7 linked regions of the Sus scrofa genome follow. The protein of the gene in region 2 binds, or shares a complex with, the protein of the main gene of each other region. Links are inferred from orthologs where the notes say so. Each region holds a gene or a part of one and is shown on either strand. Other genes may lie near its edges. The genes, in order: MORF4L2, MBTD1, RUVBL2, ING3, MORF4L1, EPC1 and MEAF6.

The links.
Region 1: MBTD1 (region 2) and MORF4L2 share a complex: the UniProt entries of both Homo sapiens proteins name them as parts of the nuA4 histone acetyltransferase complex. The link is inferred for Sus scrofa from reciprocal best matches to the Homo sapiens genes MBTD1 and MORF4L2.
Region 3: MBTD1 (region 2) and RUVBL2 share a complex: the UniProt entries of both Homo sapiens proteins name them as parts of the nuA4 histone acetyltransferase complex. The link is inferred for Sus scrofa from reciprocal best matches to the Homo sapiens genes MBTD1 and RUVBL2.
Region 4: MBTD1 (region 2) and ING3 share a complex: the UniProt entries of both Homo sapiens proteins name them as parts of the nuA4 histone acetyltransferase complex. The link is inferred for Sus scrofa from reciprocal best matches to the Homo sapiens genes MBTD1 and ING3.
Region 5: MBTD1 (region 2) and MORF4L1 share a complex: the UniProt entries of both Homo sapiens proteins name them as parts of the nuA4 histone acetyltransferase complex. The link is inferred for Sus scrofa from reciprocal best matches to the Homo sapiens genes MBTD1 and MORF4L1.
Region 6: MBTD1 (region 2) and EPC1 share a complex: the UniProt entries of both Homo sapiens proteins name them as parts of the nuA4 histone acetyltransferase complex. The link is inferred for Sus scrofa from reciprocal best matches to the Homo sapiens genes MBTD1 and EPC1.
Region 7: MBTD1 (region 2) and MEAF6 share a complex: the UniProt entries of both Homo sapiens proteins name them as parts of the nuA4 histone acetyltransferase complex. The link is inferred for Sus scrofa from reciprocal best matches to the Homo sapiens genes MBTD1 and MEAF6.

What each region holds. Positions count from the first base shown.
Region 1 is NC_010461.5:84,552,891-84,556,682, forward strand, and holds the end of MORF4L2 (mortality factor 4-like protein 2), read right to left. Parts: intron 3,651-3,792; 5' UTR 3,546-3,650; intron 3,297-3,545; exon of another isoform or gene 3,201-3,296; intron 2,432-3,200; 5' UTR 2,408-2,431; coding exon 1,541-2,407; 3' UTR 880-1,540; downstream 1-879. UniProt on the Homo sapiens protein: Component of the NuA4 histone acetyltransferase complex which is involved in transcriptional activation of select genes principally by acetylation of nucleosomal histone H4 and H2A.
Region 2 is NC_010454.4:27,523,360-27,528,253, reverse strand, and holds the start of MBTD1 (MBT domain-containing protein 1), read left to right. Parts: upstream 1-1,953; 5' UTR 1,954-2,091; exon of another isoform or gene 2,092-2,412; intron 2,413-3,020; 5' UTR 3,021-3,084; intron 3,085-3,093; exon of another isoform or gene 3,094-4,894. Other genes in the region: UTP18 (U3 small nucleolar RNA-associated protein 18 homolog), read right to left, coding at 1,284-1,673. UniProt on the Homo sapiens protein: Chromatin reader component of the NuA4 histone acetyltransferase complex, a multiprotein complex involved in transcriptional activation of select genes principally by acetylation of nucleosomal histones H4 and H2A.
Region 3 is NC_010448.4:54,260,219-54,264,464, forward strand, and holds the end of RUVBL2 (ruvB-like 2), read left to right. Parts: coding exon 1-105; intron 106-461; coding exon 462-556; intron 557-658; coding exon 659-777; intron 778-1,920; coding exon 1,921-2,040; intron 2,041-2,416; coding exon 2,417-2,546; intron 2,547-2,919; coding exon 2,920-3,034; intron 3,035-3,162; coding exon 3,163-3,188; 3' UTR 3,189-3,274; downstream 3,275-4,246. UniProt on the Homo sapiens protein: Possesses single-stranded DNA-stimulated ATPase and ATP-dependent DNA helicase (5' to 3') activity; hexamerization is thought to be critical for ATP hydrolysis and adjacent subunits in the ring-like structure contribute to the ATPase activity.
Region 4 is NC_010460.4:25,947,549-25,950,577, reverse strand, and holds the end of ING3 (inhibitor of growth protein 3), read left to right. Parts: intron 1-59; coding exon 60-98; intron 99-1,554; coding exon 1,555-1,671; 3' UTR 1,672-2,122; downstream 2,123-3,029. UniProt on the Homo sapiens protein: Component of the NuA4 histone acetyltransferase (HAT) complex which is involved in transcriptional activation of select genes principally by acetylation of nucleosomal histones H4 and H2A.
Region 5 is NC_010449.5:48,059,877-48,064,133, forward strand, and holds part of MORF4L1 (mortality factor 4-like protein 1), read left to right. Parts: intron 1-1,638; coding exon 1,639-1,755; intron 1,756-4,257. UniProt on the Homo sapiens protein: Component of the NuA4 histone acetyltransferase (HAT) complex which is involved in transcriptional activation of select genes principally by acetylation of nucleosomal histones H4 and H2A.
Region 6 is NC_010452.4:42,852,922-42,857,178, forward strand, and holds part of EPC1 (enhancer of polycomb homolog 1), read right to left. Parts: intron 2,633-4,257; coding exon 2,487-2,632; intron 2,074-2,486; coding exon 1,867-2,073; intron 1,453-1,866; coding exon 1,304-1,452; intron 175-1,303; coding exon 15-174; intron 1-14. UniProt on the Homo sapiens protein: Component of the NuA4 histone acetyltransferase (HAT) complex, a multiprotein complex involved in transcriptional activation of select genes principally by acetylation of nucleosomal histones H4 and H2A.
Region 7 is NC_010448.4:93,564,674-93,568,930, reverse strand, and holds part of MEAF6 (chromatin modification-related protein MEAF6), read left to right. Parts: intron 1-2,677; coding exon 2,678-2,870; exon of another isoform or gene 2,871-4,257.

The sequences.
Region 1 (3,792 bases), on a different chromosome or scaffold from region 2:
CCATTTCTTGGGCCGCTCTTGCAGCATATGGGAGGTTCCCAGGCTAGGGATGTAATCGGAGCTGTAGCCGCCAGCCTACGCCAGAGTCACAGCAACGCGGGATCCGAGCCGTGTCTGCAACCTACACCACAGCTCATGGCAACACCGGATCGTTAACCCACTGAGCAAGAAGGGCAGGGACCGAACCTGCAACCTTATGGTTCCTAGTCGGATTCGTTAACCACTGTGCCACAACGGGAACTCCCAGGTATTTCTGATATAACACTGAAGGCGGCTGCCTAGGCTTCCTCTGGAAGGAAAGAGCAAAGATCTGAACAAATGTGAGGGACTGGGTTTTTTGTTTTTCTTTTTAGGGCTGCACCTGTGGCACACGGACGTTTCCAGGCTAGGGGTTGAATTGGAACCGCCGGTGCCGGACTACGCCACAGCCACAGCAATGTGGGATCTGAGCCGCATCTGCGACCTACACCACAGCTCAAGGCAACACCAGATCCTTAACCTGCTGAGTGAGGCCAGGGATTGAACCCGCAACCTCATGAATACCAGTCAGGTTTATAACCCTCTGAGCCATGAAAGGAACTCCTATAAGGAACTGTTACAGTATATCCAATTACACCAGCCCAACTCATAAAGGACAGGAGCACCAGGAACAAAAGTGGCTCTGACAAGCAGCACTAGAAAACAATCCCACCCTGAGAAGCCACACAGAGGGGAAAGGAAGGGGACTGGCCCGACAGGGCATACTCCTGGATGCGACACCCAATAATAAAAGGAATTCTTTCACTAGGAGTTAGAACTCTCTCCTTTAATACCATCTAGATCTTGCCTAAGCCTGCTGACTTCTCCACCTCTGGGACATGAAAGGCACATTGCAAATTATTTGCTTTGAAATTTAGAAACAAATTTTATTTAAGATCTGAAATACAATTCCTAAAATATCAACTTCTCCAGAAAACCGTGGCTACACAATAATGCATTGCCCCTATCATGTTAGAACGTGCATTAGACTCAAATACAAAAACCATGAAACAAACCACCATCCTTCAACAATTTGAGCAAAGATAGAATGCCTAAGGAACAACAGAGATGGACTTGCAGAGGATGGGCTGTTTTACTTCAAGCACCATAAAAAAAAAAGAGCACAAATGCATGGGTTTTCAGGTATATACATTAAGTTGAACCTTTGGCACTAGGAATCAGGGCATTTTTCCACATAGCATTAACACATATTAGAAAATTGTGTAGTGTCAAAGGGATAGAACCACCAGCATTCAAGCAATGTTGTCAACTAGGCAATAAAATGTTCTACTGAATGTTTCTTCTTTGTCTAATTACTGTGTACACTGGTAGCAACTTTGAAATGAGAAAAGGAGCTTGCACTCCTTTTATTTTCTGTTTAGAATAAAACAGAAAACAAACTGAAACATAAGCCCTGTTATACATGAACAATTTTAAAGAACATCAATTATACAAGAAAAAGACTAAGAACAAAAAGAGTGTTTACAGATACCAGACATAACAGCGAGCGGTCAGGAGACCCTCACAGGGCTTTGCGGTGGTACTCAGCAGAAGCCACTTTATAATCACTGGCAGTAAACAGAGACGCAGCATTCTTTGCCAGGTATTTTAGGAAATCATGCAGATAGCCCAACAATAATGCAAGGCTCTTCTCATCAAGGGGCGTATATGCCAACATTGCTCCAATTCTCACAAATAATCTCAGTAGGTGTGGTGCCCCATAAACCTGGGACATGGGCGCATCAGGGTGAGCCAAGAGGATTTCGGCATACTGGGGCCTCTCAAATTTATAGAGCAGCTGAGTGCCCAACATCACATTGAAATACTCTTTTATTCCTGCCACAACTTCATTAACCGCATACTCCTTATTATCAACATTTCCCTGTGATTTCTTGCAATTTGCGTACTCTTCCAGAATGGCATCTACATTTTTCTTAGCAGGGAGTTGAAAGAGCTGCTTCTGCCTGGTAACTAAGTCCCAGTCCTCAACTAGCCATGGTTTTAATTCTTCAGGAATCTTCACTTTCACTTCCATTCTATTCTTAAATGCCTCCTCACTTTCCACAGTGGGGTCAGCCCGGGCCCTTTTCTTCCGAGGTGGCTGAGGTGCTTCGCTGGTACTGCCACCATCTCCATTTCCAGGGGTCTTCTGTTTGTTCTTTCTGGTCTTCCTCACGGACCCCGAAGGGGGGGTCTCTGCAGAGCGACCCCCCCACCTGCCGGGGAGTGCTGCTTCCAGATTCTTCTGCTGTGGACCAGCGGTCTTCTTTCCTGAGGAGGCTCCTCTCATCTTACTTCTCTGCATATTGCTTCTAGTTGGTTTTTTGAAGTTGTCTTCTTCTGCAGATTGTTGTCCACGAGTTTGAGAACCCTGCTTTCTGGAACTCATTCAACCCTGTTTTTATTCCAACCACTGTAATATATAAAGCATTTCACTTGGTTGTTTTCTATGGTGACCTTTAACACTGCTTCATAAAGGCCCACCAAAGCACAACACACACTACTCTCTTGGAATTCTGATTTCAAATTCTATTTCAGGACCAATTAATTGTAAGTGATTTACTACCTCCTCCTTCTCTCTTTAATCCTCACTACCACTCTCCCACTACTCTCAGCCCACCCACTCGCTCATCAGACCTGCCCATAAATTAGTTTTTCCATGCCACTCTAAAGACAGAAATATGATTTTAGAGAAAGAATTAAACTACAAAGGGCAGCAGAAATGAAATTAAAGACTTCTGAACAGGAAAAATGATAAGATAAAAGAAACAAGAATGATAAATTTAGGTTGCTGGACGCAAAATGAGTAACAGCAAAGGTTTTTGTATAAGTCCAGGGAGGCCTCAACTAGGCTGTCACAGAGTAAGAAGAAACTGAATTCAGAACTTGGTAAATGAAGGAGAGGGAGGAGTCAAAGGTGGCTCCACAATTTTAAGCCTGGGTAATTTATGAATAAAAGCACTAATTTTTATGGTTAGTTTGAAATCAGTAATCAAATAATAGGAAATAGGTTAATACATCCACTCAGTTAGTCATCATATATTACTGCTTATTAGCTTCAGGACAGGTACCATGTTAGGCGCTAGGGATTCAAATATCCAAAGTGACAACTATAAAACAAGGTTAGTACAGTGATAGTTATGGGCACAGAATATTTGGGGATAGAAAACAAGAAATGGTACCTAACACCACTTTCAGCAGTAGCTTGTTGGAGGAGGTGATAAATTGGTGAGAGATAAAGCCAGTGATGAACCAAGCATAGAATTCTGGAAAAAAACCTAAGAAAGAATGATATTTAAGGGGTCAGCAGAGAGATGGAGACCACCAAATGAAACAAAAATGGTCAGAGCAGCCATAGGAGAATTAAGAGAATGTTATTTTGTTAAGCCAAAGAATTGAGTTTCAAGAAGGAAAACGGATGATCTACACTGTAAAATGCAGCAGAGAGGGTTAGTGAGATAAAGATGAAAAAAACAGTGTTCTGTGCTTCTTCTGGTATGACAGGGTAAACAATTCCTTTGACTTACGTAATCCTCTTCCTTCTTTCCCTTCCAAGAACTTCTAGTGTTTTCCCAGATGGAACCTTATAGATCTTCTGGGATGGTAGGGAAAGATGAGGTGGGAGACACAACCTAGAAAGGAAAGGAGGCATCAGCAATGAAGACAAACTTTTGTGAAATAGAGGAAAAAGAAAAAATAATCTATAAACATGTGGTTTACAACTGTGATAACAGAGAAAATACATGAGCCCTGCTGTTAGACATACTTCTACTT
Region 2 (4,894 bases):
GGGTTCGATCCCTGGCCTCACTCAGTGGGTTACGGATCTGGCTTTGCCGTGAGCCGTGGTGTGGATGCAGATGCGCTCAGACCTGGAGTTGCTGTTGCTATGGCTGTGGCCAGCAGCTACAGCTCTGATTCGACCCCTAGCCTGGGAACGACCACATGCCACGGGAACGGGCCTAAAAATGGCAAAAAAACACACAAAAAAAATAATAATAAATAAATAAAAATGTCCAGATGATTTCTACTTGCTCCATTCCTGGCCTGTGATCCTCCAAAGCCCTACAAACCCCAACTCACGAGACTGTTTCTTTTTCTGCCTGGGAAGCTGTCACCCAGTTCAGCATTTTTTCAGTAGTATTTCTCTATCTCCCAAGTAGATTCTGCAACCTCTCCCATAAGCACCCAAAGAAGGTTCTGGCAATCAACTAATACTTGATAGGTCCATATTCACTTATCAAATAGAGTAATTTTCAGTAAGGCTTTGCTTGGCCATCCGATGTAAAATTTCATAGGCCTCCTCTACACACACTTATCTCCCTTTCTCGAGTACCTTTATTTTTTCTCTTCAGCACTTCACTGACATACCTGAACTTTATCTTCTGCCTCTACCACTAACACAAAAGCGCCAAGAAGGAAGGGATGTTTTCCTGCATTGCTGCTTCTCTTCCAGTGCCTAGAGAATGCCTAGAAATAGCCTATCTTGGAATAAAAAACAGGTTCAGGATTTAAAAAAAAAAAAAAAAAAAGAGGCAAAAAGTGTGCAAAAAATATTATGCAGGGTTCTCATTGCCAGGAAAAGTATCTGGTGCCAAACTGGCCCACAGAGATTTACTGGCTAGACGAAGGCAAGATCGTTCTCAAAAGCTAGCTAGTCTATCATATGGATAAACTGTTAAAACAGACTCTCAGGCCCGTGCCCATGAATTCTTACTCCACAAACGAGGTGGAATCCCCGAATCACAAGATATTGAGGCAGGCTACTGAACGGCCAAGCGGAAAGGAGCACCGAGTTTAGGAGATGATGGGGTTGAGCTGCGAAAAATGCTCAAGACTTTCAACACAGATTAGTATGTATTGAGCGCCTGCTAGATACCTGGGAAAGCGGTTCCCAAGGGAGTGAAGCGCTGTCTCCGCCCTCCGGAGACTTTCAGAGTGGCACCCCTGGGCGCCCGCGTTCCCGGCTCCCTCCCACCTGAGAGCTCCTCTGCGCCGCAGGTCTCCCAGGCTCCGCCCCTGGAGACTCACCGCCCACCGAGCGCCCAGCCCGCGCGCCTCGGCCTCCCTCACCCGCGGGCCCCGCAGACGCCGCAGCAGCGCGTCCTCGTCGTCCAACACATCGCCGAAGACCAGCTCCTCCAGGCACTGCTCCACGGCCGGCTTGTCCTCCTCCAGCCTCAAGCGATTCCGCTGCCGGAGCCGTCTCTCCTCCTCCGCCGCGATTGCTATCGCAGCGGCCGCTGCTCCCGGCGGGGCCGGCGGTTGCCGCTGGGATGAAGCAGCAGCCTTTCGGGGCGGCCCAGCCCGCCCCAGTCCAGCTCTCCGGCCCGGCTTCACTTGGGTCTTCCGGCCCGGTCTCACTCCGGGTGTCCTGTCCGGTCTCGCTCGGCCCCTCCGTTCCGGCGGCATCCTTGGGTTTGAGAAGGAACGCGGGCGCTCACGTGGAACCTCACTGCGCATGCGCCGAGGCCCCTCGCTTTCCGCTGCTGCTGGGGCTGCCGGAGGCCGGAAAGAGCCTGCAACGCCTGTGAGCACGTGACCAACACTCTCTCGCTCTACGTAACGCCCACTCCCCGCAAGAGCTCCTCCCCGTGTGGGAGTTCCTCCGGGAGGACCAATCTTCCGAGTAGAGGGGGAAGCGTCGTAACTGGAGTGGGAATTTTCTTCCAACACAACTTCGCAGCTACAAGTGATTGAAAGGAACGCAAGAATGCTAGGGTATAAACTGAGGTGACGGGATGAAATTTCTCCTTTCCTTCCTGACTTTTAACCACTTGACTTACACGAGCCCCAATTGCCTTTTCCACCCCTTCGTCTTGGTACGGCCCGTGGAGTACGGAGCCTGCAGAGGGTCCCATGCTGGAAGACTGAGAGGAGGGTATGTAGGGAAGTGGGCCAATCGGGGCGCGGGTCACGGCGCAGGCGCGCTAGGGAGGGAGGGCTATGCTAATGTTGTTGATATCCTGGGGCCACCCGAGTTAAAGGGGGGAAATCCGGGGGCTGCCGCAGCTGCCACCGGTCTGGGCCCATCCGGGGCCCCCCCTGTAGTCGCCATAGTTCTGGGCAGAGGCGTCTGCCCCCAGCTCGGGAGGGGGCGCCGCGGGCCTGGGGAGCACGGACAACCCCTACCCATGAGGCCCTGATGGAAAACACAAAGGATCTGGTGAGAGCCGAGCGCGGCAGCTGCTTTGTGTGCCAGGTGGGGGGGACGCCCGCAGCTCCCCAACCTCAGGAACCCCTGCAGCTCCCTGACCCTGCTCCCTGGCCTGCTTCTCCATCCCACGCCCCCTTCACCTCCGGAGTCCCCCTCCCCCCTGCCGGCCGTTAAACGATGCGGGGAGAGGGGGTTTCCCCTCCCCCCACCCGCTCAGCCCCGGACTGTTCGGGGTTCTCTCTCTCCCCCCCCCCTCCTCCGCTTTCTGGACGAGAAATTTTAGAAGAAAGTTATTCTTTGCGTCCCGCCCCCCTCCTCCTTCAGCTCTGGCTGCGAGGGGGGCAGACTGGATTTGAGAGTTCCTTTTTTGGCCGCTCAGGGTCGCAGAGTGGACGCCTCACCTCTCCCAGGGGGGCAGAGTTTCGGTGCTTTGCAGGGGAAGGCGCTCTCCGCTGTGGGGCGAGTGCTGCGAGGCGTTTCGCACGTGGAGGTGGAAAAATTGAAAGGGGGCGGGGTGGGCACGTGTGGGAGGGAGAGGTGGGAGTGGTGTTTGGGAAGCTGCCGACGAGGCAGCCTATTTACAAGGGTCCTAAGTCGGAGGGCTTTATGACCGTCGCGTTCCCTTTTGTGAAATGAGAATCCTAACATTTCAGAGTCGGAAGAGACAGTAGAGGTCACCCAAGGCAGCCGGCCCCCGTGCAGCCTCTCTGAAAAGTGGTAGGTAGCCTGGCCTCTGCCCCAACCCTTACAGACGCGCTCGCTGCTTCCCAGGAAAGCCCTTTCCGTTCACTTCTGATTGTTGCTGGCCTGCCCTTATGAGACTCATTAATGTCCCTGTTAAGTGGATTCCGTTTTTACTTCTCATATTTTCTCTCACATCCTCCTCACCCACCCACCGTTCACTGGCCTATATTTTGTGTGCCAGGAAAGCAACAGCAGGGAAGTGAAGGAAGGCGGGCTGGAGAGAGAGTGAGGGCTGTCTGAAGACTTGTCTAGATGAGGTCAAATGAGCTGGCTTCGATGTGTGAGCATGGTTGATATTTTTCTACAGGAAGCTTGAGAAATATGATCTGGGGATTTCATGGTTGTTTTCTCTAAGTTGGACATTTCAAGACCATCTCCGTAGTACTCCTGTTTCAAAGCACATGTCTTGTTGCCTCAATCACTTAAGAATGCCTAAAATTGCCTCTTGGTAGAGAGGAGAACGGAAGTACTGCAGGCCCCCTCCCCACCTCCCTTTGACCTGTGTGCTTCAATCAAGCTTCCTTCTCAGCGCCCTCCTTTCACAGTACTTTCGTTTATTTCTTTTTTTCCCTCCAGTTTTTTATGATATTTGAGTTTTTTGCAACTCTTTAACATTTGCGTAGAGTTTGCAATATTTTTTATGCTCCTTGCATTAACCTGTTCCAGGGATTATCACTCAGAAGTTGAGATAGTTCAGTTCTACTTTTGTCACTTAGCATTTTTTTGATGTTCTTCATTTGGTGAGCTATGTTGCTTCCAAAGTAGTTTTATTGGCATAGGAATCTTGGGGGCACATGTTTTCCTCTTCCTAATATGGTTAAGTGAGAGTGAAGACATAACAGATAAAATGTCGAAGTAATGAATTGGTTGTAAAAGCCAGAGAGTAAATTTCACTTTGAACTCCCAGTCTGCTGTTTAAAATGTTAGAGCACAGAAATTTTTGTCTCTCCCCCTTTTTATGACTCGGAGACTGTTTCTCTGCTCTAATGTATTTACACTGGGTTTTTTTGTTTGTTTATTTACTTCAACACCAGTGAGTGTTGAGAAAGAAAATAGTTGTCCGTTTTTGCACCACCTCCTTCTCTGAATAACAAGAACTTCTATTTATGTAGAAGCCCATACTCCAAGGTTCTGGTGCACAGTATGGCAAAAACTGTCTTGAATAAGTATCTGTTCTTAAATATCTGATATTGGACCATATCTTTTAACTGTCCAATTTTTAACTTCATATACACTTTGACATGTGATATTTTCTCTAAATCTAGTCACTAAGATTTAACCTGAGACTGAATACTAGGTACTGATAAAAGTTAATGGAACTGTGTAATTGTGTCCTGAAAGTGTTAATTAATGTGGAGTTTCAAGTTCCTATTCCCTTCAAACGTGAACTGTCATGATTTAAGTTGAGTGACTTTGGAGACATTTGCATTCCAAACATACTAGACAGGAATGACTGGTTTTATTTTTAAAGAAGACACTACATTGTATTTTCATGGCTGGTTATATGTTGACTTAATTCCTGTAAAAACCTTCTTGGTTGTTCAGAGGCTTCAAACCCTTCGTTACCTTGGAATTTAAATTGTTTTAAATGTAACACAATAGTCAAAGGAAGGTAAAACTATAGCTTAGAAGTGAAAACAACATATTAATGTCATAAATACTAAGCCGCTAGGTTACCAAAAGCCAAGAGTTCTCAGTGGTTTGAATGACCACATCCTAAAATTAGACAAGTCACTTCATTTGGTTGCTTCTTGCTTCTGAGTTTTTCATCTTTAAAATGTTT
Region 3 (4,246 bases), on a different chromosome or scaffold from region 2:
CGGATGGGGAGCTCCAGAAACGCAAGGAAGTCGTGCACACCGTGTCCCTGCACGAGATCGATGTCATCAACTCCCGCACCCAGGGCTTCCTGGCCCTCTTCTCAGGTGAGGCCGTCTGTCCACCCACCCAACCCCCGGCCCCGAGCTCCCTCTTCCCACCTGCCAGTGCCCATGGCGTCCCCGTCTCCTCTGTATCTTTTTCTCCTTCGGTGTGTGGTTTGCCCCCTCCCCACTCCTGCCTGAGTCCTTCTCTCAGGTGGTCTGACGGGGGCGCCCCTGTACCCCCTCTGCCTCTGTTCTTCCTCTCTGGGGCCCCTCCGACTCCCCGGCCCTCATGTCGCGTAGCCACTCCAGTCTGGGTCTCTCTTCCCTCTGTGCCCGGCCTCCCATCTCTCTGGGTCATCGTCCCGCCTCCGGCCCTGGATCCCTGTCTCCTCTCTGACACCCCCCACAACCGGCAGGTGACACGGGGGAGATCAAGTCAGAAGTCCGAGAGCAGATCAACGCCAAGGTGGCTGAGTGGCGGGAGGAGGGCAAGGCGGAGATCATCCCTGGCGTGAGTACCTGGCCGAGGCCACGGCAGGCGGCCCGCGGGGGTTCGCAGGAGAAGAGGGGGCGCGGGAGGTGGATTTCATGTCCCCCCCCCGATGGCCCCCAGGTGCTGTTTATCGACGAGGTCCACATGCTGGACATCGAGAGCTTCTCCTTCCTCAACCGGGCCCTGGAGAGTGACATGGCACCTGTCCTCATCATGGCCACCAACCGCGGCATCACCCGGTGAGAACGGGCGTGCTGGGTGGCAGGAAGGCCACAGGGTTAAACAGGCCAGGGCTGCGGAGCACCTCGTTGGGGAGCTGCGCTGCTGTAGTGGGCTGCCCTCGGGCGCTGGGGCCCGGGCGGCTGGCGTACTTTCCCTCAAACAAAAGCAGGCGAGCGCTCGGGGCTGGTGGGTGCCCAGCTGCACAGGCGCTCTGGGACCCAGCATGCTCTGTCTTTTCTTGTTCCCAGAGGCCTCAAGGTTACAGATTCCAAACTGTGTGCCCAGGCAGGCACGCGGGGTGCTGCAGAGAACACAGGAGTGCTGTGGGTGTTTTCAAATGTTTGAGGGACACCTCGTGACATGAGTCGGGTGCTCTGTAAACCACTCCAATTAAGTCACTTAGATCCAACTACTTAGGAATAAACAGAACAAAACTTATTCCCCTTGGCCCAAGGATGCTAAGGAAAAATTCCTGACAGAGTTCCCCTTGTGGCTCAACAAGTTAAGAACCCAACTACTATCCATGAGGATGTGGGTTTGATCCCTGGCCTCACTCAGTGGGTTCAGGCCATTAGCTGCAGTGTAGGTCGCAGATGGGGCTCTGAGCTGAGCCCGTGTTGCTATGGAATCTGCTAGAGTTCCTGCTGTGGTGCAGTGGGTTCAGGATCCAGTGTTGTCTCTGCAGCAGCGTGGCTTTGATCCTCAGTCTGGTGCAGTGGGTTAAGGATCCAGAGTTGCTGCAGCTGCAGCTCAAGTTCAGTCCCTGGCCGGGGAACTTCCATATGATTCGGGTGTAGCCAAAAAAAAAAAAAAAAGGAATCTGCTGTTTCCTGGCACCTGCCATGTGCAGCAGGGGACAGGACTGTGCCAGTGGAGCTCTGTGTCAAGCAGAGAAGCGGGACCTTGAGCCGCTAATCCCAGACATAGATCTCTAGCTAAATCCAGCCCAGCTCTAGAGGGGGAGGGATGCAGTCAGGGGCCGGCTGTGCTGTCAGGCGGTGACGCCAGCCGGCCGGGAGCTGAAGGCCAAGCGAGTGGTATTTGACCCAGTGAGTGGGCCATGGCGGAAGGGGTGGGGAGGGCTGTCCGGGTAAGGGGAATGGGGAGCCGGGCTGTTAAGAGCACCACCCTGACCGCCCTCCCTTCCCCCTCCTGCCCAGGATCCGGGGCACCAGCTACCAGAGCCCCCATGGCATCCCCATCGATCTGCTGGACCGACTGCTCATCGTCTCCACCTCCCCCTACAGCGAGAAAGACACAAAGCAGATCCTCCGCATCCGGTGCGGGTGGGGCTGGTGTCCACCCTCTTTGGCCCATGGGGACCCCGAGGTCTGAAGGGGAGGTGGCTGGGCCCGCCAGAAGTCCTGCTGGGCTGGGCATCGAAGCAGTGGCCTCTGAGGAGGTTGTGAGGGTTGGAGAAAGGCGGGGGGGTGTTGGTGACACAGCTGGGGGAGGTGAGGGGGAGCCCAGGAGTGGGAGGGTCCGGAGGCCCACCCCAGGTTTAGGCTCAGCCGGTGCCTCAGCGGCCCTTGGCACTCAGCATCCTGTGCCTCTGAGAGTGAGACTCCACGTGGCCCCAGGAGGTGCAGCAGCGCCCCTTGGGGGAGGGCTCTGCGGCAGAGTCTGCACCCTGGCTGACCGCCGCCCCCGCCATAGGTGCGAGGAGGAGGATGTGGAGATGAGCGAAGACGCCTACACGGTGCTGACCCGCATCGGGCTGGAGACCTCCCTGCGCTACGCCATCCAGCTCATTACAGCCGCCAGCCTGGTGTGCCGCAAGCGCAAGGTCAGCGGCTGAGGGCGCCCTGGGGGCTTGGAGCAGTGAGTGGAGGGCCCGCTGGTCCCAGGGCTTTCCCTGGGCCACAGCCTTTCGTCCTAGGACTTGGGTTTCAGAGGCAGGGAGCTTCCGGTCTCTGCGCTTGGTTGCTGTGTCTCCTGGCCGGACGCCCGGGAGGCGCCGGGAGGCGCCGACTGAATAGCTATTGGCTGCACTCCGATGCCGTGAAGTCCCTTTTACAGATGAGCACACCAGGGGTGGAGAGGTGGGGGCCGTGGCCGGGCGGTGGCCCTGCTGGGATTTGACCCCAGGCGACCTGGCCCCAGAGTCGTTGCTCCCGCCCCGGGGGGGCCCCCCCTCTGAGGTCTGGCACCCCCATCAGGGCACGGAGGTCCAGGTGGACGACATCAAGCGGGTCTACTCGCTCTTTCTGGACGAGTCACGATCCACGCAGTACATGAAGGAGTACCAGGATGCCTTCCTCTTCAACGAGCTCAGTGAGTATCGGCCCCGCCGCCCACCGCCGCCCGCCCGCCGGCCCGCAGAGGGAGGGGAGCCCGGCCTGGAGAGCTCGGGCCCTGCCCTCTGGGCCACACCGACCACCTGGCCTTCCTTCTCCCCACAGAAGGCGAGACCATGGACACCTCCTGAGCCCACGTCACCCTCTCCCCCACCTCCCCTGTTTTCTACCAGAGTTCTGACACCGTGACTTTGTATAAAATGGTTCCGAAACTGGGCCCACTGTGTGGGTGTGGGTGTAGGTGTGTACATACGCACGTGCTCACACGCCCCAGCCCCCAGAATAGACAACCCCAGAGTGCAGGTGGAGCAGCCTTTATTGGTGGGGGGGAGCATCTGTGGGCCTGGGAGGCTGAGGCCGGGAGTCCTTAGAGGAAGAGGAGGCCTGGGAGTAGGGGGCGGTCACAGGCCAAGGGTTGGGCTCTGGGACCCCCACAGTCAGAGCTGCTGAGGCGGCAGGGCCCGCAGTGACAGCTGAGAGCCACGGGGAAGGAGACCGTTGGGTCCACGCCAGGCGGGCAGCCAGGGAGGCGGATGGAGGCAAAGCTCAGCTCTCGGTAGGTGCACACCGGCTGGGGCACGGGTGGCAGGGCAGCCGGCAGCACCCGCACCTGTAGGGGGTGGGGGCGGGGCTTGGGTGTCTACCTGGGGCCCAGCCCTCCCCCAAGGTCCCCCCTCAGTACCCCACAGACCCCAGACTCAGGTGTCCAGGGGACCCTCTGTGTTCTCCCACCCACAGGCCCCACTCTGACTCCAACTCCCCAGCCTCTGCCTAGAGGGGCAGGCCACCCTGCCGTCCCGGTGCCACCTCCTGTCTTCTGTGGGCCTGGCCCTGAGTAATCCACCCGGATCTGTGGTGGAGGCGGCACCCGTCTGCAGGTGCCCACCCTGCATAGCTCACCATGCTGGGACAGTAGCCGGCACAGATGCTGGTGGTAAAGGTGATGCAGACAGGGCAAGCCTCATTCTCAGCAGCCAGGGTGGCGTTGATGGGCCGGCACAGAGGCCGCAGTGGCCCCCTGGATGCCCACACCCCGGCCACGCTCAGCAGCAGCCACAACAGCAGTCCCTGGGACAAGGCCAGTGCCTCAGGGCCAGCCTGAGACCTCCGCCCCCAGCCCTTTCCCCACCTCCACCCTCTGCATGTGACACTCAGGGACACAGCTCCTCCGCCTGACATCTGCCATTCA
Region 4 (3,029 bases), on a different chromosome or scaffold from region 2:
TTTGGATTAGGTGCTGGTTTTATAGTCATAATAATGACATTTAATTTTCTTTTAACTAGGTATCCTATGGTGAGATGGTAGGCTGTGATAACCAGGATGTAAGTATTAAATTTTTCTATTTAGGAATGAAAAAAAAATCACAGATTAGTCCTACTTGAATATATATTTTTTTGTTTACTGTGTCAGTCTAAGAAAACAGGTTTGCAGTTACGTTAATTATGTCATATTAATGCTAGAATATTTTTCCCCCAAATAGGAGAGTGTCCCTCAATGTGTTTCCTATTTTAAAGCTAAGGTCTCAGAAGGTGTTTCATTGTAGGAAAATTAGGTAAACCTTCCTCTCCTTTTGCCAAAGAATGCTGTGTTTGCTAGAATTCAGTTCACTTATCAGAGTGAAGAATTGGAACTTTTAGAACAATACATCCTTTCAGGAAGCATGATGCTAAGGTGAAGGCTCTCATGTGCTTATTTCCCTCCCATTAGTGTAGTATTTCCTACTGCTTTGCAGGTGTCAGCTGATAAGAGCCACTTCTGATATAAAAAATAAAGAAGGTTTGAAAGAAAAGAACTCCTATTTATTTTCTATGAAGTTTAATTGGGGTTAGAGATATGTTTTTATTGAATGCCATGAATATTTTTGTCTAGTAATTTCCATTCCCTTCTCACTGTCAGCCCCTTTTTGTCCATCTTTTCCTCCAGAGGGGTAACACAACTCTGAATGTCAGGATCTGCAGGTTAAGGCTAAGAGTTTTAAATGTTTAAAACAGTTTGAAGATTGAGCAGGGTTGGCTCATAAAAATGTGTACTTTCCTAACCAGCCAGGGTCCCAAGACGTTCAGGTAGAGAAAGACTCTCCTTCCACTTTCCTCTATAGACTCTCTTGTGGGTTGTTTATGGTTATTGCAAAACAGTAGCCCCCAGCCATTTCAAGAAGACCATTGTAAACTGTCTTCTCGGGCGGTTATTGAAGATGATGAGTGAGATTTCTGTGAATACCCTGTCAGACTCTCTGATCCCTCTCATTCCCAGTTGTGCTGTTCTCAGTCCTAGGATTTTGCACTTGTAGAGCCACTTCATATATTGAACAGCGGAGTTCTTTTTCTCTCCATATCTAGGAATAGATAGACCCAGAAAGAAACCCAGGGCATCACTTTATGTCTTTCATTACAGCTGGCTAATTTTACTTTGTAAGAACACAAATAAGGCTGAATATTAAATAAAATCTTGGAAATACATTTTGCCTTCTATGTAAGAGACCTGTCTCACTTCTTGTCCTTGTGAGTTGGTGTCGATGTACTCTTCAAATGAAAGTCAGTGAATTTGTGTTCGTTGAGATTATGAGAATAGATTATGTGAAACTCAGCTAAAGATGCATAATTTTCTATGTCTCCATTTCCTTATCTCTGAAACTTATCAGTTGGACTAAATCATCTCTAATCCAGCTCTTCGATCTGAGTCCACACATCTAATCATTAATATTTAGTTCCTGGGCACGTTTTACCATTCTTCCTAGTCTTTGACAAAAAGCTGTTTCTTTTCATGTTTGCTTTCTAGTGCCCTATAGAATGGTTCCATTATGGATGCGTTGGACTGACAGAAGCGCCGAAAGGGAAATGGTACTGTCCACAGTGCACTGCTGCCATGAAGAGAAGAGGCAGTCGGCACAAATAAGGGTGGTCATTTCATTTGAGGAAGAAAACAACTTCAACATTTTATATAGGACTTTAAAAAAGAAGAAAAGCGAAAGAAGAAACAATGCATTTCCAAGCACCCACTTTAAGGATTTACATAGACAATCCTATAAGATCTTGAACTTGAATTTTATGGGTTGTATTTTAATAATGTAAGTAAATTATTTATGCACTCCTGATGTGCTCTGAATATTATTCCAGTTAGCCTTGGATTATTTCAGTGGCCAACATATGCAGACATTTGTACTCCTCAACCATTTTCTCAAAGTAATGGGCATTCTATAATTTACACTTCAATGAATTCCAACGATGAAGATTTTAAGAAAAGTATTTTATATTCAACAGGTATGTTCTGCTGCATGTACTGTACTCCAGAGCTGTTATGTAACACTGTATATAAATGGTTGCAAAAAAAAAAAAAAAAAAAAAAAGACAGTGCTTCTAAAAAGAATTTAAGATAATGGTTTTTTAAATGCCTTTATAATAAGCTTTGTTTCTTTGTGAAACTAAATTCAGCGGGCTGAAGGAAATGGTTCATGTGATAAAGTGGGCTGGTGTCCTCTAGAGTACCTGGGTACATAAACAGAAACTCCTGTAGGTAAAAACTAATCTGTGCCATTAGTCTTTATATGTTTCTGCATCCAGATAGAATGCAGTTCATGAGGGTGGGAGGGGGAGGGGCTGAAGGGAGAGGGTGTTAAAGTGATACATTTTTATACCAAATGTGTTTATTTTTTTGTGCAAGTAATCCTTAAAATTGGAATTGTATTAGGTGTTAAAATAAAGTTTTTAAAAAATTACTTGTATTTATACTTTACACACTTAATAATGAAAATTTCTGAATTCCATTTAACTTCCAATTTTCATAATCTAAAAAGGACAGAGGCCCAGGACACAGAATGCTGCGTAATCTGTTATTTCTTTAATAATGCTTGGAACTTGTGATATGAAAATAAGGGAAAGACATTTTTAATGTAAATTTGAAATGCAAATGTATTTTTCTAGGACATCTCCCTGGCTTTTCCTTCAGTGGAAGGGACATGAAAGAAGTCTAATTACAGCAGACAAAAGGAAAATTATCGTTATAGCTGTTTTGACTTGAGGCAGTGTGGCCAACTTAAGAAACCCCCTGGACTGGAGCTTAAAATTCACTTCTATTTTTGATTCTACCACATGTTGGTATGACAGTTAATTCACATTTTGAGTCACTCTGGGCCTTATTAAACCAGGGTGATCCTGGCTTCAGGATGTCTATAAAGCACTCCTAACGTTTTATTCTATAGGTGCTATTTAAATTATAAATTTTGCATAGCGGAGGTTTTATTTAAGGTATAATAC
Region 5 (4,257 bases), on a different chromosome or scaffold from region 2:
TGTTGCTGTGACGTAGGCCAGCAGCTACAGTTCCAGTTTGACCCCTAGCCTGGGAACCTCCATATGCCTCGGGTGTGGCCCTAAAAAGACAAAAAAGAAAGAGATTGTGGAAATACTTGATGTAAAATGCTTGTATTTTCTGAGAGTACTGCTTGAAAATAAACTTTTTTGTTAGGTTGTTATCTAGTGATACAAATAAATGATGGGTGCACAGTTTTTTTGTTTTTGTTTTCTGTTTAGGGCTGTACCTGCAGCATATGAAAGTTCCCAGGCTAAGGATCAGATTGAAGCTGCAGCTGCCACCCTACATCCATTGCCACAGCAATGCAATTTCCCAGCTACATCTGCGATGGACGCTGCTGCTTGGGGCAACAACGGATCCTTAACCCACTGCAGGAAGCCAGGAATCAAACCTGTATCCTCATGGATACTGGTTGTGTTCTTAACCCACTGAGTCACAATGGGAATTCCATAAGCTGCATAGTATTTTGTTTTTGCTTTTGGTGCACTTTGTGTATTACTCCTTGGAAAAAGAATTTTTTAAATGGCACTAAATATTGGAGATCTTTATTAATATTTTTGTAGACATTGAGGAATATTAACAAGGATGTGGGGGGTTTTTTTGTAGTTGATTCACTATGTAGATAAATACATGTAATTTTGAAAATTGTGATCTTTAGTAAGCATTTAGAGAAGCCTTTACATAAACTCATACAGAAAGAAGGATGAGTTACTCAAATACACAGCAAGTGTGTTGTTAGTGCAGTGTACAAAGTGCTGTGGATCATTGTGACTTTGGGAGTTAATGACAAGCTCCTTTAGAAAATTCTGAAATTCTTTTTTGCTTTAGCAATATGTAAAACTTTGGAATGTTTGGCCTTCAGTTACTACCCTAATAGTGATGTTCCTCAGAGCAAAAGATGTTTCATTTTTCTGTAGTTCCCCAAGGGTTTTCAGCTCCTGACATGTGAAGGAAATTCTAAAATTGATGTGGTTTTTAGATCAAGGTCATTATTTAGATGCATTTTATATTGGAATTTGCAAGATTCTAAATGGAACCTTGTGGTAAATAAAAATTTGCTAGCTCCCTTTAATTTAGAATTGAAACAAATACAAATAGATACATAAATAAAAGTAAGATCCTCATTTTTTGTTCAATTCCTTTTAGAAAATTGTATAACTAAAGCCCAATCTCCAAATTGGAATGTTCTTAAACTTCAATAAATAGTATATACTTTCTCAGAAGCACAATAGGTAACATTTCTAAAAACTTTATTGGGGAGTTCGAGTTATGGCACAGTGGAAGCAATCTGACTAGGAACCATGAAGTTGAGGGTTCGATCCCTGGCCTTGATCAGTGGTTAAGGATCTGGCGTTGCCATGAACTATGGTGTAGGTCACAGATGCGGCTTGGATCTGGCGTTGCTGTGGCATAGGCCAGCAGCTGTAGCTCTCATTTGACCCCTAGCCTGGTAATCTCCATATACCACGGGTGTGGCCCTAAAAAGGGGAAAACTTTATTGGAATTCACTGACACAGACATTTAAATATTCCATTTATAAATAAATCTTAATAAAGTTTAAGCTAAATTCTACACCTAGTTACTGAGATTACTTTGTACTATGCTGTCTGTATCAGAAGTGCTGTGAGGCCCAGGCGCTCTGAAAAAACTTTGAAGAGACGTGAGGATATTGTAGCCCTTTTTCCTGTTCCTGAAGGAGCTCCCTCAGTACACCACCCCCTCCTGACCTCTAGGTAAATGCATGTTTTAAAGTTTTCTCAAGGAAATCATGTTGAGGGTTGCATTTTATTATTTATTCTACTTTTGGCTATCTTAGAGGTCAGAGGTGGGAAGTCATTAAGTAAAAAACTGAGAATACATCTAATAGTGTCAATAAAGGAGCTCCATCAGCAGGAGAAAAGAATCTGCACAAAAAGTTCAGCATTCCCTAAGAAATAACCTGGCCTTTGTTTTTCCCTTTGGAAAAAAAAATCACATCAGAGACCTTGCTTTGAACAAAGTCCTACTATATAGTACAGGTAATTGTATTCCGTATCCTGTGATAAGCTGTAATAGAAAAGATTATGAAAAAAAATGTGTATATATATATATATATATATATGTGTGTGTAACTGAATCACTCTGCTGTACAGTAGAAATTAACAACATCAACGATATGTCAATAAAATAAATATTTTAAAAATACCTTGTTTTGAAGTTCCTTGTGGCTCAGTAGGTTAAGAATTTAGTGTCGTCACTGCCGTGGTGCAGTTAAGATCCCTGGCCACATGCCCCAGGCGAGGCCTAAAAAAATTCCTGGGCCAGGGATTGAACCCAAACCTCCACAGCTACCCAAGCCGCTGCACTTGGGTTCTTAACCCACTGTGCCACAGTGGGAAGTCCTGAAGGAGCTTTTCCAAGTGACAGAATGCTTTAGCAACTAGATATTTTAAGAGAGTGGTTGGTTCTACCTTTTGTTATTTAGAAAGGCATTCTTGTGGCTATCTGTTGGAAGTAGGTGTATTCGTGAGTGAAGGTTTAAGATGATGTGGTTGGAGTTCCGTGTTGTGGAACAGTGGTTAACAAATCTGACTAGGAACCATGAGGTTGCAGGTTCGGTCCCTGCCCTTGCTCAGTGGGTTAACGATCCGGCATTGCCGTGAGCTGTGGTGTAGGCTGCAGACGCGGCTCGGGTCCCGTGTTGCTGTGGCTTTGGCGTAGGCTGGCAGCTACAGCTCCGATTCAACCCCTAGCCTGGGAACCTCCATGTGCCGCAGGAGCAGCCCAGGAAATGGCAAAAAGACAAAAAAAAAAAAAAGATGATGTGGTTTAATAACTATTTTAACACTTGGGGGAGGGGAGAGCATGTGGAAGTTCCTGGGCCACGGATCCAACCCAGGCTGCAATTAGCAGCCTGCACCACAACTGAGGCAATGCTGTATCCTTAACCTGCTGTGCCACAAGGGAACTTCCTGTAACACTTCAATATACAGTCTTAGCTGAGTTGATCTAGGTGGTATTAGAGTATTGTAGATACATGTGTCTGACATACCTTTGAGTGTTTATTTTTTGTGTCAAACTTTCAAGTGTTTTACATGTATAATTTTCATAATGATCCTATGAGATAGGTACTGTTACTCCTCATTTTATATGTAATGAAACTAAGACACAGAGAATTACATAACTTTGTAACAAAGTTAACCAGTTTTAGTTCTTTAATTTATTTTTTATTTATTTTTTTATTTTTTGTCTTTTTTGCCATTTCTTGGGCCGCTCCCACGGCATATGGAGGTTCCCAGGCTAGGGGTCGAATTGGAGCTGTAGCTGCCGGCCTACGCCAGAGCCACAGCAACGCAGGATCCGAGCCGCGTCTGCAACCTATACCACAGCTCACGGCAACGCCGGATTGTTAACCCACTGAGCAAGGGCAGGGACCGAACCCGCAACCTCCTGGTTCCTAGTTGGATTCGTTAACTACTGCGCCATGATGGGAACTCCTAGTTCTTTAATTTAAAGTCAGCTTATTATGGATTCCTGTGCCTTATTTTTTTGAAATTAAAATTCATTTATTTATTTATTGGCCACCCCTGCAGCATGTGAAAGTTCCCAGGCCAGGGATGGAACCCAAGTCACAGCAGTAATCTGAGCTTCTGCAGTAAGAGCACTGGATCTTTAGCCTGCTGCACCACAAGGAAATTCAACATTCTTTTTGATATCTTTATACTGTAAGGATAATTGCTTAGGGGCTCTTAGGCTAATGCCTTGCTCTTGTGCTTTTTTTTTTGGACTCTCAGGGCCGAAGATGTGGCATAGGAAGCTCCCAGGCTAGGGGTCGAATTGGAGCTAGATCCTAGCTGCGTCTGTGACCTACACCATAGCTCACAGCAACGCCGGATCCTTAACCCATTGAATCAAACCTGCATCCTTGAGAATACTAGTCAGATTTGTTTCCGCTGCACCACAGCAAGAACTCCCTGCTCTTGTGCTATTTTAAAGAACAATGTGAATGATCTCTTTTGGATTCTGGCAGTTTAGATTTGGAACGTTGCTTTTCAGAATACGTTTATTGCCTTTTGATAGAACAGATTTTCACTTTAGTTGAAAGTGAATTTGTAATGCTGGTTCAGCAAATTAGTTCAAAGAGATCCAAAGACTTGCCTCTTGGATTTCTTAAAATGAGAAATTGGAGGACAGAGTCTGAATACTAATGAAATATTTTGTTTTTTTAAATTATTTTTATTTTTTCCATTATAGTT
Region 6 (4,257 bases), on a different chromosome or scaffold from region 2:
GCAATTTTTATCACCTTATTAACTTTAAACTCCTTCACATCCATGGCTTCCTGGTGTTTAAACTGACTGCTGTTGCTGATGGGGATGGTGGGGATGGTGTAAGTAGGTTTCATTGGCTGTCTCTGTGCCATAACCTCAGACATGATCTCTCCATTGTAGTCACCCAAATTATACCTGAAATTATAAAAAGAAAGTTTAAAAAGTTAGTTCTACACATACTTATCCTCATGACTACTAACAGCTAACTGAGGTATAACTGCAAACACTGATTAGCCTTAAGGTAAGATTACAGTTAAACCTTGACTATTTGCTGAATGCTTATTAAAACTACAGATGACATAATTCCTATCATTTCTTTCTTTTACTTTTTGGCTTACAGCTTTCTCTCACCATTAACAGATAACTGCAGGAAAAACCCAAAGGTTTAAATTTTAACACAGCAATTTTGGTGAAAGATTTGGGAGAGATGTTGAAATTCATGCCTAAAACAGTGCTGAGGAACTTTCTACTATTTTGAGTTGCCTCTGCTATAAAACTACTTTGGCTGAATGAATCGTAAGAATTTTTTTTTTTTTTTGGCTTAGGGCCACACTTGCAGCACATGCAAGTTACCGGGCTGGGGGTCAAATCGGAACTACAGCTGCTGCCTATGCCACGGTAGTGGCCACTCGGGATCCAAGCTGTGTCTGTGACATACACCACAGCTCACAGCAATGCTAGATCCCCGACCCACTGAGTGAGGCAAAGGATTGAACCTGCACCCTCATGGATACTAGTCAGACTTGCTGCCACTGTGTCACGATGGAAACACCCCATAAGGAATTTAATGGTGGGTTTCTTCGGGAATAGGAACTAAGAACTAGGGGACCGAGGCTTGAAATTTTCATTGTGCACCTTGAAGGATCAGCTGGGTCTTTCCTCCTCCCCCTTTTTGTATTTTTCTGCTTAAAAAACTCACAAAGTGTTTTAAGAAAATTTAGTTCCATCTAGTGAATAAAATAAAAACTTTAGAAATGACAAATGTTCTCTCTCCCTCACAACTCTGCACACAACTCAAGTAAAGGCAAAAGAATATCATTTCAAAATGGAAATGCCTGGCATATTTTAATTTTACTGAACCCAGTCACTTTAAAAAAAAATAGAAGAAAACACATAAAGTTATACAAAGTATATACAGCATGCCACACATTTCAATGGCCTCTAATTATTATTAAAAGAATATATTTCTGGAGTTACAGATAACTGCTTAGGAAATAAATTAACTCCACATACATATTTCTAATGCAGTTAAAACAGACATTACCTCTTTTCCATAATTTCCAGTGTTAAGTGCAATAGCTCCCTTTTACTCTTTTCTCTTCTTTTTATCATCTCTAGAATAGTAACAGCCCGACTTAGATCTCGACGCAGCTTAAGCATTTTTTCATAAGAGGCTTCATCATTTTTGCGATTCTGCAAATATAAATTTGTTTGTTTGATGTCAATAAGCATTTCTAACTAGTGACATTCTGAGTATAGCTTCCGAAATATAAGAATATATATATATTTAAAAAAAGGAATATATAAATATATATTTGAAGGGTTAGATTAGAATTTAAAGACACTGAAAGGGAACATGGATCACGAGGAAATCAATTTTGACTATGGTTTTTAACGTGGATTAAGAGTAACACATATCACTAATAGATCTGTAATGAACCTTAAGGTTGATTCATTTTAAATTAATATTTTTCATTATACTGTATAAAAAGTCTGTCTACACACAAATTAAAACACAACCTTCAGATACTGAGATATTCATAATTATATATACATTTTCTTACATCGAAAAAAAAAATTACAAAAAATGTCCCCAGGATCTCTTACTTTTCGAGTCTGCATTTTTTCAGTACGTCTTCTAAAAGCCACATAAGGATCATTTGTGCTGGAACCATCTCGCTTCTCTTGTTTTACGGATGGGATAAGAGACGGCCCTCGACAGTTTTTTCTCTTTTTAATCCAGTATTCATAAACTTCTCTAATTAATTCATCGTCTTCTTTTAGCAGTAGTTTGGCTTCCTGCAGACTGACTGGCTAAATGTAAAACCATTATGTCATTTTCACATAATACAAATAAAAGGTTCAAAGCACTTCTGCAACTTTAAAGGACAATAATCAAAATAACAGTATTAACCGTGGCAAACACACTGAGTTCGTTACACATGCCAGCCAATGAGCTAGATGCTTTATGTTAACTATGTTATTTAATTTTCCTAACGACCCTGGAATGTCTATCATCTTTATTTTACAGATGGGGAAGCTGAAGCACAGAAATTGAAACATACTGCAGGTCATACAGGTTAGTAATGGGCAGAGATGGGATATGAATTCATGCTTGTCCAGAGCTTGCTCTCTCGGCCCCACCCAACATCACGCTGTTTCCATATAAAGAGATATTTATATAGACATATTCACACACACTTAATGCATACACAATGAAGCTGTACCTGCTGACCACTGCCTTTTTCTAGACGGTCAATCATTTCCTCAAACTGCAATGGGCAGATGTCCATTTTCTTCTTCAGTTTATTCACAAATACTTCATCTTCAGAATCCAAATCATAATCGGGCTGTTCAGCATCCAAACTAAAAGCTGACAGAAGAAACCATAAGCAATCACTTACTGTGTGAATACACGACAAAAACCTTCCACAGATGTGTGGATAACTTCTAAAAGATATAGGAAAGATTTTTTTTTTCAGACTCACAATCTAAGCTCATTAAATTTAAGATCATCTTTACTGTTATGATAAAAGTGATAAAAGACAACCCCCCAAAGCAAACAAACTAGAAGCCCATTATTAAGAACATAAAGAGACTGTTAACTACACTGGGTTGAACTACATGAAAATTTTGTAGCTCAAAAATGATAAAGTATCAGCAATTTCATATAATCTCACTTAATAAAAGAATGAGATCTTTAAGTAAGATGTTTCTAGAATATTTAAGTCCTATTTTATAGCTTATTTAACTACTTAACCAAAAGCTTGGGGAGTGCTATTTAAAGCTGAAGTGTTAGAAGCCACTGCCAATAACAGTAAGAGCTGTCACTCAGTGAGGTTTGTCCCCTTATGAGAATCATTGTCATGGTGAGAGAAATATGAAGTATTCCTAGGACTGTCAAAAAAGGGGCAAGTGGAGTTTCTGGGGTGGTGCAGCAGAAATGAATCCAACTAGGAACCATGAGGTTGAGGTTCCATCCCTGGCCTCGCTCAGTGGGTTAAGGATCTGGTGTTGCTGTGAGCTGTGGTGTAGGTCGGTAGCTGTAGCTCCAATTAGATCCCTGGCCTGGGAACCTCCATATGCCACGGGTGCAGCCCTAAAAAGCAAAAAAAAAAGGGAGGTGGGGCAAGAACCACTGCTTTATACTATACCATCAAATGTCACCCAATTATTTATCAACATTAAACTAGTTTGATAGTAAAATAAGAAGCTTGGTATCAAAAATTACCTCACATCTTCCCCTTGCTTTGATCCTCCTCCTACCTTCTCATGACCCTCAAGTCCAAATCCTTAGAATTAACAGGTCCTTTTGGACCCAGCCTGGCCCTCTCACCAGTACTTTATGATCTAGCAACATCGAATTTCATACATTTCAAATAGCATGCTATTCCTTCAGGTCTCCAGGCCTTTCCATGTGCTATTTTCTGCTTGTCCACCTAGCAAATGACTATTCTTTCCAAAACTCAACCTGACATTAACTCCAGTGGAATCCTTTCTTGACTGTCCTCCTTCCACCAAGTAATTCTCCTAACCACTTTTATCTTTTTTAGAAGCTATGAACCCTCTCCCCAGAAAAACAGGAGGTATAAACATAAAAGATTTTGTATAAATTATAGACAATTCAAATGTCCCTAAAAGCTTGTGGCACCAAGGCAAGAAATTCCTGTTCTAGACGGCTCTCCTTCTTCTGTACCATTTTTACACATACTTTACAATCTATTTGTTAAGCATTGAAACAGGTTTGATCTCCTTGAGAAGAAGTGTTGGGTCTCGTTTATCTCTGCACCTCCAGTGCAGGGACAGTAAACATGCCAACTGCTCGCAGGGTTCTACTGAAAAGCATCTGGATTTCACTCTATTCAAGTGGAAAAAAGGCCTCAGAAAACCTGCATCACTCGCAGTGATGAGTCATAGGTACAAGAGGAGACTCCCTGGCTGACCCAAATCTGCCATCCTTCAAGGTTAATACAGCATCTGGCCCACAGGAACCCAACA
Region 7 (4,257 bases), on a different chromosome or scaffold from region 2:
GTTGTGTTTTTTTTTTATCCTTTTTTTAGGTAACATTGGTTTAAAACATGTAAGTTTCAATATACACAACATTATATTTTAATTTTATGTATATACGACAGCGTGCTCACTACTACAAGTTTAGTTTCCTCCTGTTACCGTGTAGTTGACCTCCATTACTCATTTTTTTTCTTTTTTCTTTTTTTTTTTTTTTTTTTTTTTTAGCTATTTCTTGGGCCGCTCCCGCGGCATATGGAGGTTCCCAGGCTAGGAGTTGAATCGGAGCTGTAGCCTCCGGCCTACGCCAGAGCCACAGCAACTCGGGATCTGAGCCGCGTCTGCAACCTACACCACAGCTCACGGCAATGCTGGATCGTTAACCCACTGGGCGAGGCCAGGGATCCAACCCGCAACCTCATGGTTCCAGGTCGGATTCGTTAACCACTGTGCCACGACGGGAACTCCCCATTACTCATTTTGCCCTTACCTCCCCACTGTGGGTTTTTTACTTTTTTTTTTGGTGATACATGCAGCTCAAGAGTTTTATATGAATGATATGGTTCACTTTACATATACTTTCTTCTGTCATGCTTGTTTTTGTGGTCTTAGCTAAGAAACCTTTGCCTAATCCAATGGATTCTAAAAGTTTTATAGCTCCTGCATTTAGGTCTATGATTCATTTCGAGTTATTATTGTCATTATTTTTTTGGCTCTGCCGGCACCATGTGGAAATTCTCAGGCTAGGGATCGAACCTGCGCCGCAGCAGTGACCCCAGCTGCTGCAGTGATAATGCCAGATCTGTAACCCACTGCGCCACAAAGGAACTCCCATTTCAAGTTATTTATTTATTTTTTTCTGTCTTTTCTAGGGCCTCACCAGCCATACATATATGGAGGTTCCCAGGCTAGGGGTCTAGTCGGAGCTATAGCTGCTGGCCTACGCCAGAGCCACAGCAACTCGGGATCCAAGCTGTGTCTATGACCTACACCACAGCTCATGGCAACCCCATATCCTTAACCCAGTGAGCGAGGCCAGGGATCAAACCCGCAACCTCATGGTTCCTAGTCGGATTCATTAACCACTGAGCCACGATGGGAACTCCATCAAGTGAATTTTTGTATATGGTGTGAGATAGGGTTGCAGGCTTCAGTGATCTCAGCACCATTTGTCAAAAAGACTATCCTTTTTTCATTGAATTGTCTTGTCACCACTGAAAATCAGTTGATCATAAATGTAAGGATTTATATCTGGACGCTGAATTCTGTTCCCTTGACCTATGGTCTGTTCTTATGCCACTACTACACAGTCTTGTTACTCTAGCTTTGTGTGATAAGTTGTGAGGTTCTTTTGCTAATTTTTACATGAAATCTGTTTTCCTAAACTTCAGGACAGGATTGATCAGTTTATTTTATCTAGCTTCATAGTTTTAGAACTCTTCTCTTTTCTTGGTTTCATGAAGTCTTCAAAAATAGGGTTTCATGATGGCTGAGATCCCTTTTGCTTTCTCTTTGCTTTCTCCTGCTTTTTGGGGCCTGCATCTTTTAGCTCTCGTATCCCTGTGCTACTCAGTTTGGAATCTTTCCCGGCAGTTTATGATATAAAAACATAAAAAGAAGAAAGCTGGTCACTGGTCCTGCTGTTCATGTAACCTCTTTTAACAATTTTTAGAAATAGGTAATGTACACATTTAGGATTCTTCAACAGTTCAGTAAAGTGAAAGTCTTCCCCCATCCTTTCGTATTAAGAGTTTCAAGAATTTCCTTTCAGAAAGAAAAAGTATACATTTACCAAAATATATGTAGTTTTTCATGGGTTTCCTGTCGTGGCTCTGTGGTTAACGAATCTGACTAGGAACCATGAGGTTGCAGGTTCGATTCCTGGCCTCGCTCAGTGGGTTAAGAATTCGGTGTTGCTGTGAGCTGTGGTGTAGGTTGCAGATGCAGCTCAGATCCCATGTTGCTGTGGCTCTAGCGTAGGCCAGTGGCTACAGCTCCGATTAGACCCCTAGCCTGGGATCCTCCATATGCCATGTGAGCAGCCCTAGAAAAGGCAAAAAGACCAAAAAAAAAAAAAAATATATATATATATATATATATGTAGTTTTTCTTAAAAAACATGTGTTTATATAAATTGTTCTTGAACTTGCTTGTTTAGTATATCTAAAGGATGTTTTAAATTGGGAATATGTATCATCTGAAGGCTATTATTACCATTAAAAATATCATTCTTAAGGCTTCTGAGAGTAACTTAGGTAATGGGGCTCTTCTCTTGGGCCTGTTTTCTTGGTGGAAGTTAGGATTCCTGTGTGGTTTAGGGAAGGAACCAGGGCCAGCTGTAGGGCGTTTTCCCAAGGTCATCTCTCACCTCCCAAGATTTATGTGATGTTTTCTGTAATGCTTCTCTTATAATTATGAATCCCATTAATGTATCCTATGAGGTTATCCTGGTTGTGTGGTCCATTCTCCCAGCTGTCCATCATCTGTTGCCTCTGGTTACACTGTTTCAGGTTATAGGTTTTTCAGGACCTCTGGTAACTTTGATGCTTTGACTGTATGTATCTTCCTTGTCAATTGGTCCTTGAGGATAAGGGATAGTCTTCTGTGTATTAGGGCTCAGAAAGCATCTTTCCTGACTTGATGGACAGGCTGCCTGAGAATACTGATGACGCTTTGGGGGATTTGTGTTTATTCCCTCCAGGGGAACCAGGAAGTGGGACGGAAAGTGATACTTCTCCTGACTTCCACAATCAGGAAAACGAGCCCAGCCAGGAGGACCCTGAGGATCTGGATGGATCTGTGCAGGGAGTGAAACCTCAGAAGGCTGCTTCTTCTACTTCCTCAGGGAGTCATCACAGCAGCCATAAAAAACGGAAGAATAAAAACCGGCACAGGTCAGTGGCAGGGACCACCTTTACCCATCCCAGCCCCACACACTTAGAGCTTCCATGGCCGTTGCTGTGAAGGGACTTTACTGAAATAAACATTCTTTGGGGTTGGTGCAGTCTTTCTGTTGCTGATGGGGAGACATTCATGTGGTCCAAGGGAAACAGGCTCATTTTTCTCTCTCTAAGGGAGGAATTGGTGGGTATCAGAGTAACTCCGAAGGAAGACAACTTTCTCACTGTTTCTAGTGTAGACAGATTTGATTCCATGACACTTTTGTTTAATGCAGTGACTCTGAAATCTTTTTAGAGGAGGAAAAGGGAAGTAGAATGGAATCTCTGTACTAGCATTTGGAAAATGCCACTAGTATGTATCGGGAAAGGGCAAAGTGGGATAAGTCTTTTGCTCTTAATGCTGATCCCTGCCTATTCTTATTCCCTGGAAGATGGAGAAAACTGATCTGACATGCCTTTTTTCTTGTTAAATACAAGTTTTTTGATTCTGATTTTTAAATTTTTATATATCACTACAATATACTGATTTTAGTATCACAGGAACAGTCTAAAGGCTGTAAGATATGAGAGCACCTTTCTAGATAATGTTGGTCTGCTGGGTTTTTTTGTTTTTGTTTTTTTTGTTTCTTTTTTGCAGTGCGTAATGAGATAGGAATCACATTGGTGGGCAGAGATGTCAGGGGACAGCCAGAGAGGTCACGTGTCCCCCTGCTTAGGGTTAGTATGATAGTTCCAGGGCCTATTAGCTTAGATAATTGGAAATTATACAGCTGCACTCAGAGAGGGTAATGCATAGTTTCTGGAGGCAGGATTCTTGTCCCCAAACCTTCTTCTGAGAGGCATGAAAACCAGATGCTCAGTAGGCTGGCTTTTTCCTGCCCCACTTAGGAGCCTACCTGCCGAGGATATGAAAGGGGGCGTGCAAGGACTGGGTGGGGTTCCGTGTCCTCCAGTTTGCTTCTGGGCTGGCTTGTCCCATAAAACATTCCTTCACACTTGCAGGGTGTTAATGTTAGCTTGGTGGCTGTGGCACACAGGGATAACAGAGAATTGACTCTTAACGGGTGTAAGCCTCCTTGGTATCAACTGATTCTTTAATTCTTTTAAGAGCTTTTCTTGTCTGGTGGTGGTGGTTTTTAGACTGTAGGAATAGTGTATTCTCCAGATAGTGACTAAGGACAGCTGCTTCACATTTTTCTGCAAACCAAAAATCACATGCCAGTCTCATAAGTGCAGTAAGAAAGAGCCAACATTACATACCTTTTTTTTTTTTGGGTAAGGCTATAGTGAATTTGGTCACTGTGAAAGGACTGATGCTACTAGCTTAATCATAAACAGCAGAGAAGCATACTCTTAAAAGTTTTTTTTAATTGTCAAGATA